Elephas maximus indicus: one gene and its partners. The protein of the gene in region 3 purifies or fractionates together with the protein of the main gene of each other region. This does not show direct contact. Links are inferred from orthologs where the notes say so. Each region holds a gene or a part of one and is shown on either strand. Other genes may lie near its edges. The genes, in order: SIKE1, CTTNBP2NL and STK26.

Region 1 (3,751 bases), on a different chromosome or scaffold from region 3:
CGTTTCCTTCAAGGTTCAGTAAATTGGTAAAATTCATTTTCCTCCTCTAGATGAAAGCTTAAATGTAGCTATCCCTATTCCTTAAGACTTTTGTTAAGTCAATAAAGTCAACAGAATCTAAGATGAAATTGATCTCTCACTAAATTCCACCGTAGCAAACAGCGAGGTTCAATCTATTAACCCAGAATTAAGTGATATGGTACCTGTGAATGTACCATGACAACTGTGAAGCATCTTATAAATATAAGTACAATTATTGGGTCTCCCAAATTAAATCATAAGCAGCCTAAGTGTAGAAACTACGCTACACATACTTTTTAAACACCACTATTCTCTCCTAACAATAGAGCATGATGCTATGCAGTTCAGTTTGACACTTTCAACACTAACTGGCATTATGTTTGGTGCAAGTGCTTAGCATTCCTTAGCGTTCTGAAAAAAGATCTTGATGCGGTACAGGGAGAGGAGGGAACCGTGGGCCACTCAAATAAAAGGCACTGAGTAGCTCCTCATCCCCTTCTGATTATCTTTACAAAGCTAAAGCAAAATAAACAGCAATTGTGATAAACATGAAAGGAAACACAAGGTTATTTTTCTTGGAAATCAAACACAAAATCTAAAATAATTTCCAGATTTCAATTCAGTTAATTTAGAATTTACTTATCAGAGCTTCTTACTGCAGAATGAGACTGGTGAGCTTTCAGGACTGGTTCAGCATCCACTGCTTTTTTAGCGACCATCAACTGTAACATCTGTTTCCGGTACTTGCTCATGATGAGTTCTAAGGCATCCTGGTGTTCCTCCAAGGAAACCCATAGTTCTATCAAAAAATAAAATAACTTGGCAGCAATGTCTGAGAAACCACTCCCAAAACCAAACTCTTAACAGTTGGAATTTTACGACACTCCATAAGATACTGTGAGTCCAAAGTTGTAAATCAATGTTTAAATCCACAAAACTAAAGAGCTAAGGTTTATGTTAAAAATAACTTCCTAGGCAGAGACACCATAGTCTAGTAGAAACACCGTAGGGTATGAAATCAGAAGACACAGGTTTGAGTACAGTTCTGTGACTTACTAGCTTAATAAAAGTACTCCTGAGCAAATCATTTAACCTCTCTGGGTCTATTTCTCAGCTGCAATACTGTAATAATAAATACCAGGCTTGCCTATACCAAAATGAAGATACAAGAATACAATGTGAAGTAATATGTGAAAACCTTCTGTAAACTGATATGTAAGTGACTATTAAAAAAATTTTTTTTAATTAACACTACCATCATTAATAACGTAGTTAACATGTTTAAGAATATATATCCTGAGGATAGAACTGTTCCTGCACCTTATGCGATAAGAGTAAAAAAAAAAATTTAACTTTAATGTTTATTTCGATTACTATTTAAACATTAAATTCTAAGCCCTTTGAGAATATGAACTCCTTTGTTACGCAAGCCTCTATCCGGGGATATTTAAACACACCACGCAATAATTCAATTCTATTAAGCACCACTTTGATGAGCCGTCTATAAATGCTAAATCAGTCAGATGACCTTGAAAAAGATATTTAGCAATTACACCACACCATTATTGGTCTAGCAAGTGACACTCCTTTTAAAAGTATTTACCTGGGAATACGTATAGGATGTCCACGTTTGTGAACAGTTAAGGCAGTTCTGCAAGAATTTCTGAACTGCTACTGGAAAAAAAAAATCGTAACTACACAAAAAGCCTGACTAACCTCTGTTTTCCTGCTGCAAGTCTCTAATCTGCGTGTTCTCTTGGGACAGCAAAATGTGAGGCTTGTATTTAGACACGTCCTTCACATCGGATGCATCCTCTTGATACTGGACAAACAGAAAGACAGACTAAGCGCGCCGAAAACAGGGGCAGATACAACTGAAAAGGTAGGAGCCAGAGCTCCAGGCAGTATTCTCAGCCCCAACTCGGCAGACGCCTCACCGCCGCCCTCTAAGACCGGGAACAAATTCCAGGCCGAGTTCTCAGTTTACCTCGCAGTCCACACCTCAAGCGCCCAGAACCCGAGGGCACGGATCCCCCATCTCTGCCTGACCTGGTCCGGAAGCGCTGCCCCAGCCTCCCGCATAGCTGCCACCCGCCGGTGCAGTGCCGCCGACTGATCCACCAGCGACTCAGCGGCCGCATCGTGCTCCCGCAGCCTCTCCAGCAGAGTCTTGGCGTCTGTCAGGATCTTTTCGATGGTGCAGGTCATAGCGGATGCACGACCCCACCTGTCCGCACCGCTCACCTAAGCAAAGCGCCCAGATCTTCCTTGAACCCTTCTCAGCGTAACATACGTCACTTCCGGGAAAGTTGGCCAGGCGCCTCAGCCGCCGCGATCTATGCGCCTGCGCAATGACAGATACGTCCTCAGGTTGACCCGCTTTAACCTGCGCCTTCGCTTCAGCCCCGCCCACCGCAGAGCTGACGGCTTGCACTGGCCGGGTTCTTGTTTTCCTGTTCCTAAGCTTGATGGGTTTCTCTTTTTTCTACTGGCTTTTGGTTAATGTGGGTTTTTTACTCAGTCATCGTTTTACTCTAATTGCGTACTTTTTTGGTTTTAATTCAATTAATACATTGAAAATAAAATTAGTCAGAAAAACAACTTTTTTGTCATTTGTTATATCAGTTTATAAGAGTTTTGCTTGTCATGTTTGTACGTCAAACTTTGCTCTTTTTCATTCATTAATTTAATAAATATTTTTGGAGCGTCTTCTTTATTCCAGGCACTGTTTAGTCTCTGGGAACACAGCAGAGAATAAGACACAAGGTCTCTCAAAGAAAAACCCCGCGACCACATGTGTCACAGAATAGAGCTGTTCATAGGGTTTTCTTGGCTGTAATCTTTATGGAAGCAGATCACCAGTTCATCAAGCCTTTCTCCCATGGAGCTGCTGGGTGGATTTGAACCACTAACCTATAGGTTAGCAGCCAATGGCAAACTTCTTGTGCCACTCAGGCTCCCTTTCTCCCATTAGGGAGCTTATGTTCTAATGGGAGAAAGAATTTATACTCCAATGAATAATTTAAGGCAGTGAGAGAATTAGGAGCCTGGTGAAGGGGTGAGAGTGCCAGAGCCTTAGTGAGAGGTCAGAGAAACGCGGAGGGAAGGGGAATTTGGGCTGTTCTGTTCCCAACAGCTGGCACAATGGAGACACTCAGTAATTGTTAAGGGGGTAGATGGGGAACAAGCTCAAGAAAAATAACAAATCAGGGCCACAGACCAACGGGAAAAACTTTAATGCATAGCGACAGAGGTAAAGAGATTTCATTCAAAACAAAAGAAAAACACCCTGCCTGAGTGATCTATTTCCTTTGGTTTTGACTTCCACCCAGGCCCATTGGTTCTCAAATCCATCTCTGTAGTTGAAATCTCTTTCATTAACCTAGGATATTTATATCTAGTTGCGTACAGAGTGTTTCCACAGTGACAACCTACAGGCACCACAAATTCAACATGGTCTAAAACTGACCTCATTATTAGCTTTGCCTCTAAACCTGTTTCTTCTGTCTCCCTAAAGAGCATGTTCATACACCCATTTTCATAAAACAGAATCCTGAAAGTCATTGTTTAGTCTTCCCATTTACTTATGTCTCACATTTAATCAATTACCAGTCTATCTCCTTTATATCTTTGTTGTTAGTTGTTAGGTGCCCTCAAGTCAGTTCTGACTCATAGCGACCCTTGTACAGATGAACAGAACACTGCCTGGTCCTGCACCATCCTCATGATC
Region 2 (3,751 bases), on a different chromosome or scaffold from region 3:
TGCATCTGCCTTGAGAACTGTGTCTGCTTAGGTGAGGACTAGGCCCTAATATTGTCTTGTTTAATGACAACTACTAATTGTATTGTTATATGAAAAATAATGCGATGGTTATTATTTTAACCAGCTAAATCAATCTATGAGCTGGAGTGCAGTCTATGGAAAAGTGTTCTAGAAACTTTGACCTCCAGGAAGGATACAGCTAGGTCTACCATCATTCTCTCCCCTCTCTGGGCTATCTGGTCCTACCTAGGGCTTGCTGCTGAAGTCCTGGGTGGTGCAATTAATACTCGGTTGCTAACCAAGGTTGGAGGTTCACATCCACCCAGAGGCATCTCAGAAGAAAGGCCTGGTAATCTACCTCCAAAAAATCAGCCACTGAAAACCCTATGGGGCACAGTTCTACAAGAGGTCACCATGAGTAAGAGTCGTCTCAAGGGCACCTGGGTTTTTTAAGGCTTGCTATCATCAGCAAGATGTGTTCCTCTTGTTTCCACATGGAGGGCCAGACATGTATACTCTAGGCTGTCCATTGTTCCAACTTCACTGCAAACACCGTCATCCCATAGTATAATGGGGCGACCAACATGAAATTGTCTTCTCATCTGGCAAGCGTGGTGTGGAAACCTTGACACACAAATTTGCAATTATTAGACTTCTGCCTTGAAGGCAGCCTCCCCCATTCCTTCCCCTTTCGCCCTTGCCCCCAACCTGGTGGATAGTATACAGAGACAAGGCCTGGAAGGCAGGCAGGTCGGCTGGGTTTATGGCCCCTCTGGTACAATCCTATGACCCACTGCAGAATTTCCATAGCTAGCATCCTCTTCTACATATAATGTGAAGAGAGAAGGATGGTCTCCTGATATTTCATCTTTGTACCCTTGCTTCCAGCACACCTTCAGGCGCGTCCAAGGAAAAAAGCGGGAGCAGGGAAGCCACGTTACTGAGTTTTCAATAACCATTTCTAAAGCAGATACCAAAGCTTACTTTTCTAAACAATGTGGATGAAATCACACTCCGGACACCAGAAGCCCGCCATTCCTCAGCTTCCCCTACCACTAGGGCGAAGCATGAAGCCCTTGTCAGGGGCCTGTCCAGCAACGGTAAAGAAGCTGGAAAGCGGCAGGACCCAGACCCACCTTCGTGCGGGCCGGAGGAGGGTGCTTCCTACCGGAACTGACGTGAGCTCAATCCCAGCCCGGTTCTCCCCAAACAAAAGGGATCTTGGGGCTCCAGGAGGAGCCTAAATGACATTGGAGAAGCTCCTCCTCCAGCCAGTGTGGATTGGTGGCGGCGCTGAAGAGGCGAGGTGGTGATTGGCCAGAATGCATGCCAATGTCCCTTCCTGGCGGTTGAGGGGGTGGGGCCTCGGGGGCTGTGGATAGGGAGCGGGTGGCGGAGGCGGCCGGGAGCGGAGCCCGGAGCGCCGGGAAAAGGTAGGATCCCCTAATGCTGGGACTTGGTGACTGCTGGGAAACCGGGTTTCCGAGAGAAAAGCAAGGGTGGGACCCCGGTATCCTCCCGCACTGTCCCACTGCCTCTCGTGTACATCCCGGAGGGGGCGGGGCCGTCTCCTCCACCTCCCGGTATTCCCTGAGGAGGTGGCTGCTCATCCTTCGAGGGTCCTCACGGTTCCTTATTGTCCCCCGTCAGTTCCTCCCTCCTCAGAAAGGGCTTCCCTCCTGCTACCTCTCATTTAAAAGCCCTTCTCGCTCAGCGCTTCAACCTTGGAGGAGGGCTCGCCGGTTCCCATTCCCTACGCTGCCGCCCCCACTCCCATTTTGTACCCCGGGCAGCCAGACATCCCTCCCTACACCTGTCCCTGCTCGCTAGGGTGGGACCAGAGCTAGTATCGTTTGTAAGATAAAGTCAGTACATTTTAGAAAAGAGGGATGGGGCAAAGCAAAAATCAAAGACCCGACCTGGACAGCCAGCACCACGTACGAAGCGGCCCTCCCCCCCCTTCAGCTCTTCCCATCCTCCATTCTCGGATCCCCAGCCTTCTTCCAGCTGCCCGTCGGATTTGCTGTTCTGTGGCGAGTGGAGAGCTCCCCTGCTTCGGGAGTCAAGATGGACTTTTTTTAAGCTCTGGAGGAAGGAGAAATTACAACCCCCTCCCCCCATCTCAGTCTTTGTACCTTCTCTCTATTTTCTATTCCCAGCTTCAAAAGGTTTTCTAGCGTTGAGTTGTTCACTTTTGCCTTCCACCCTATTTCTTCCCTGAGAACTTGATGAAAAACCATCCTCTTGTATTTCACAGTGAGGTGGGTGTGTTGGCTATCTGCAGAATTGCCTTTGTGTGGGTAGGAATGCAGTGTGTATTGTTTGGCAACCAGTGAATAGCACAAGATTTAAGATGAAGCAGTATAGATAAGCAAATGAAAATATTTGGTCATAGGCATGAGTATCTCCTAGTCTATGGTGGGCTGGTTGTTGCTCAGGGAGACTGCACTTCACCTGGAAGGTATGGTTCTGTTGAAACAAAAGGCAGGAAGTGTTTGAAGAAAATTCAGGTTCAGACATTTAGGTTTATAAGTAATCTGGTCAGGTGGCCTTTGGTTACTCTCAACTACTCCATCTTTTATAGTGGGTTCCCCCCCTCCCCCAGGGAAAATGATACATATATGACATTGTTGACTGGTTTTACATGACCCATAGCATCTAACAAAAATATTAAAAAATATATATATATATAAAAAAAAATTTATAGGGGACAAAAAATAAGAGCAATTTTTAAGTCGCAGAGATGAGGGTAAATAAAGGCGAGGTAAGCTCCAGTTATTCACATGCCTCTGTAGTATGTTCATAAAGACTTTGTTAAGCTGTTCTTCATTTCAGCAGGGGCTAAGTATTGATGGCTTTTGGTCCAGTGTTAATGCCCCTGAATCCCCAGTAATCACCTATGGGTGCCTGTTACCAATTGCCGTCAAATGGACTCCAACTGACAGCAACCTTGTAGGACAGAGGAGAACTGCCCCGTACGGTTTCCTAGGCAGAAATCTCTACGGGAGCAGACTGCCACATCTTTCTCCCCTTGAACAGCTGGTGGGTTTAGACCTCTGACCTTTCTGTTAGCAGCTGAGCATTTAACCACTGTGCCACCGGGGCTCCTTACCGATGGATAGTGCTTTCATATATTAAAATTAACCATATATTAAGCAGTTTTCTTTTTTGCTTTCAATCAGAAGTCCCTCTCACTACTGTTACCTGTAAAAACCAAACCCATTGCCATCGAGTTGATTCCAATTCATAGCGACCCCACAGGACAGAGTAGAACTGCCCCACAGGGTTTCCAAGGAGCAGGAGCAACTGGTAGATTCCAAATGCTGACCTTTTGATTCGCAGCCAAACAGCCAAGCTCTTAACCACTGCACCACCAGGCCTCCTCTGTTATCTAGAGCCAAAGCTAATCTCAATAACATGCAAAGAGTTGAAATCATAGAGGGTGATTGTAGTGGCTGTTGTCTTTTACCTTCCTGATTAGACTTCCTGAAGGTAATTATTTTTAATAGTTAAGTTTCGAAGTTTTCAGAGCCACACTTGGTGCTCACAGATCTGTGTAGTGATTATTCCCAGATCTACAATAAGAAAGCATAAAAGAGAAGCTATGTGTGGGGTCTCCCCAGCTAACACAGCAATAGCAGTAGAAAAAACTAAAGCAGAACAGGAAACTCTAGAAAGATATATCTTGTTACATGAGCAGAGAACAGAAAATAAACTAAGAGACTAGAGAATCCAAAGTAGTGGTAATTGC
Region 3 (3,751 bases):
AGTTGAAGTCTCCAAATCCATACCAAAGGACCAGTAAAGAAGGTCCAGGAATAATGTGAATGCCCTAAGGTGGATCTCAGAGGCTTTCATTTTCATAAATCCATTTTTGCAGGGCATATACAAATCATACACCATTTGTTGTAAATTAATATGAGGTTAATTTAGTGGTTCCTACTATTTGCTACAGAATTTAAAGCTCCTTTCTGGGCTACTGCTTCCAGAAGGCAATGCAAACACAGATGCAACAGTAACCGTTAATTATGCATAAAAAGGTTTAGAAATTTTAATATTCGTAAAAGAATATTTGATTTAGGTATGTAGAGAGCTGACTTGATTTTCTTCGAGAGCTGTCTTGATTTTCTTCCAGGCTCTGAAGAGTAGTGTGAATGATTGAGCAAACCAGTTTCTTTATACAGATGGTCTTTTAATTGCATTCTTTGGGATTTTTACAAGTTATTTACTTGAATTTTGCCCTTTCCCTAAAAAAAAGAAAGGAAATCTGTCTTAATAACTACTTAGGATACCTTGATTTAATAAGCCAGTGAGATGGTGAACAGGAAATTAGATCTTTGGGATTATCTGTGAAAGATTTGGAGTCTCTGGGTGGTACAAATGGTTAACATGCTCAGCTCCTAACAGGAAGGGTGAAGGTTCAAATCCATTTGTAGATGCCTTGAAGAAAGGCCTGGCAATCTACTTCAGAAAAATCAGCCATTGAAAACTATGGAGCACCGTTCTACGCTGAGACACATGGAGTTACTATGAGTCAGAATCGACTAAATGGCAACTGTTTTGTTTTTTAAATCAGGGATATAAAACAAAACAAAACCCATTGCTGTTGAGTCAATTCTGATGCATAGCGACCCTATGGGACAGACTAGAACTTCCCAGAGAGTTAGGAATTGATAAATAGGACAGGGACCTGTATCCCTCAGGGAGATGAGGAGTGGGAAGTGCAAACGTTTCTGTCTCCAACTTGGTATTCCTTGATTGAAAATCTTTAACTATATTGATGAGTTGGGATTCACTTCAGAGCTTCTTTAAAACGCAAAATGTGACTTGGTTTTTAAGTCTTTGATCTACACACTTTCAGGAACTCATTTAGTACAGAAAGCAAGGAACAGCTTTATCCCCCCTGGAGCTGATTGTTTTAGTCATAGCCTTTTAAAACACTAATTAGGAAGATTGGGATTTAATCTTTGTTTTTTACAACAGATGATTTTTTTTTCTTTTAATTTTTTTATTGTGCTTTAGGTGAAAATCCAACTGACAATTCTTGTTATAAGTTAATGAATATACTTCTCAATCCAGAATGTGTTATCCATTTCTGTTTTAGAAAGTACATATATATTTTTAACCAGCGACTTATTTCCAAATTTTAGACTAGCTTTGCAGCTGCATCAGGACAACTGAAAGATTATTTCTTTTTATTTTTCAAAGCCCACTGAATTTAGGAAGTTATAGGGAGGCAAACCCATCACTAAGATATTTGATGGGTATTTTTGCCACAAGGTACTAGAAAGGCAACAACCATCACCAGAAGTAGAAAGAGGTAACTGTGAGTTAACCACTGTGTAATAGTAATCAGCATGAAGTACAATGTCATGGTAAGAGAGAGAATGCCAAGGAAATTAATAATGATGGTACTCAAGTTTTTGAGAATGTATTATAACAAAATATGAGCGTTAAAGAGGCATTTGCAACCTACTGGAAGTCTAAACTAGTTTTAAATGGATATATGGGAAACTCAAGATATATTTACTCCGTGTGGGACTAGAGGTGGGTAGGAATACACAAGTAGCTTGCAACATCAGAGACTGCTACGTGGAAAGGGCATCTTTCAGAAAAGAACAAAATCCAATCAAGGAGAATGGGGAAGCTTATAACGTAAGCAGGTCGTGTGCAAACTGTACTTTAAGCAGGCTGAAAAAAGAAAAATTGGTGAAATTCTTTAAAAGCAGTCATAAGTCTTCAAGTTACCTCAAAAGGAGGCAGCTCACTGGAGTAGCAGTGGATCTATTTGGTAATCATGGCACCAAGAACTTGATCAGAGACAAATAATAAATTTTAATGGCCTATTTGTCTAGTAAAGGAAGATACCTTTGTTGTTGTTAGGTGCCGTCAAGTCAGTTCCAACTCATAGCGACCCTATAGGGCAGAGTAGAACTGCCCCACAGGGTTTCCAAGGAGCTGCTGGTGGATTCGAACTGCCGACCATTTGGTTAGTGGCTGAGCTCTTAACCACTACACCACCAGGGTCCAAGGAAGATATTAGGAATGTGCTAACTCTATAATTATCTCTTGAAACTGATGGCTAAGTAAAATGGTGGTAAATGAACAGATATTCTAGGCCTGACTGGCAAATTAAATATAGACAGCTCACCAGAGCTAGATAGAATCCTCCTATATTTTGAAGGTACTCAAAGTAAAATTTTAGATATAAACTAATAAAGCACTTAAGTATAATTTATTAAACTGTCTTTTCGGTGGGGGAGGGAGACTCAATCCTGAGTTTCTACTTGGTCAGTAGTGTATCTTCAATATGAGTTAACGTAAAGATATAAAGATTGTTTCATCCAAGTGAAATTTTAATTCAAAATTGTATATTACAACATAAAGGATATAGTTTCTGAATCAGAAAAGAATATCAAATGTATAAATCTAAGTCATGCCTGTACATTTGTTAACCTAGAAACCTATGCTTGAGTTCAGGTTTTATCGCAGCAAAGTGTCGACTTCTGTATTCTCACTGTGAGATGAGTTGTGAAAGGAATTGTGACAAAGGAATAATAGCGTCTTATTTCAGCCTTGGACTAGACCAGTACGTGCCGATAGGATCCTGAGTTTTTGTTTCTGTTTTTTTTTTTTTTTTCCTTAAGTTTAAATTCTTGAATCTATTGTGTTCTGTGTCGTTTGGATGGTGGTTTGGAAGTATACGGGGAATGATTGAGATGTGTGAGTTGGGGAATAAATTACCACAAACTAGGTGGCTTTAAAACAGATATTTATTCTCTCACAGTTATGGAGGCCAGAAGTCTGAAATCAAGGTGTCAGCACGGTTGGTTCCCTCGGAGGCTCTCAGAGTCCATTCCATACCTGTCTCCTAGCTTCAGGCGATGGTTGCTGGCAATCCTTGGTATTCCTTGGCTTGTAGGTGCATCACTCCAGCCTCTGCCTCTGACTTCTCCCCTATATGCGTCTCTACCTCAAATCTCTCTCTGCCTTTCTCTTATATGAACACCTACCATTGGACTTTGGCACAGTACTTAAGTGCTCAGTCACTAACTGAACAGTAGGCGGTTCGAACCCACCAGCCTGTCTGTGGGAGAAAAATGTGGCAGTCTGCTTTCGTAAAGATTACAGCCTCGGAAACCCTAGGAGGCAGTTCTACTTTGTCCTACATGGTTGCTGTACATTAGAATCGACTCAGCGGCAGTGGGTTTGGGTTTGGATCATTGGATTTAGGGCCCCCCCCAGAAAATCTAGGATGATCTCATCTCGAGATCCTAACTTAATTACCTCTGCAAAGGCCCTTTTCCCAAATAAGGTCACATTCAGAACTTTGGGGGGGTTAGGATTTGGGCATATCTTTTGGGGGGCCACTATTCAACCCACTACACTTAATTTAGCTGTTCTCTCTCTCACCATTGCTACCCTTCTATTAAAGTGTAAACTGAATATGACCAGCTGCTGATTCTAAGAAGTGCTTGATCCTTTGGCAGGGAGCTCAGACAACATTTGCTGTATGGGA

What was found.
Region 1: the proteins of STK26 (region 3) and SIKE1 purify together in Homo sapiens (affinity purification with mass spectrometry; 4 studies listed by BioGRID and IntAct, with this or other methods). This does not show direct contact. The link is inferred for Elephas maximus indicus from reciprocal best matches to the Homo sapiens genes STK26 and SIKE1.
Region 2: the proteins of STK26 (region 3) and CTTNBP2NL purify together in Homo sapiens (affinity purification with mass spectrometry; 4 studies listed by BioGRID and IntAct, with this or other methods). This does not show direct contact. The link is inferred for Elephas maximus indicus from reciprocal best matches to the Homo sapiens genes STK26 and CTTNBP2NL.

The regions. Positions count from the first base shown.
Region 1 is NC_064821.1:165,759,996-165,763,746, reverse strand, and holds the start of SIKE1 (suppressor of IKBKE 1), read right to left. Parts: upstream 2,312-3,751; 5' UTR 2,230-2,311; coding exon 2,071-2,229; intron 1,844-2,070; coding exon 1,738-1,843; intron 821-1,737; coding exon 678-820; intron 1-677.
Region 2 is NC_064821.1:168,370,603-168,374,353, reverse strand, and holds the start of CTTNBP2NL (CTTNBP2 N-terminal-like protein), read left to right. Parts: upstream 1-1,366; 5' UTR 1,367-1,433; intron 1,434-3,751. UniProt on the Homo sapiens protein: Regulates lamellipodial actin dynamics in a CTTN-dependent manner. Associates with core striatin-interacting phosphatase and kinase (STRIPAK) complex to form CTTNBP2NL-STRIPAK complexes.
Region 3 is NC_064846.1:24,087,717-24,091,467, reverse strand, and holds the start of STK26 (serine/threonine-protein kinase 26), read left to right. Parts: upstream 1-1,589; coding exon 1,590-1,607; intron 1,608-3,751. UniProt on the Homo sapiens protein: Serine/threonine-protein kinase that acts as a mediator of cell growth. Modulates apoptosis. In association with STK24 negatively regulates Golgi reorientation in polarized cell migration upon RHO activation.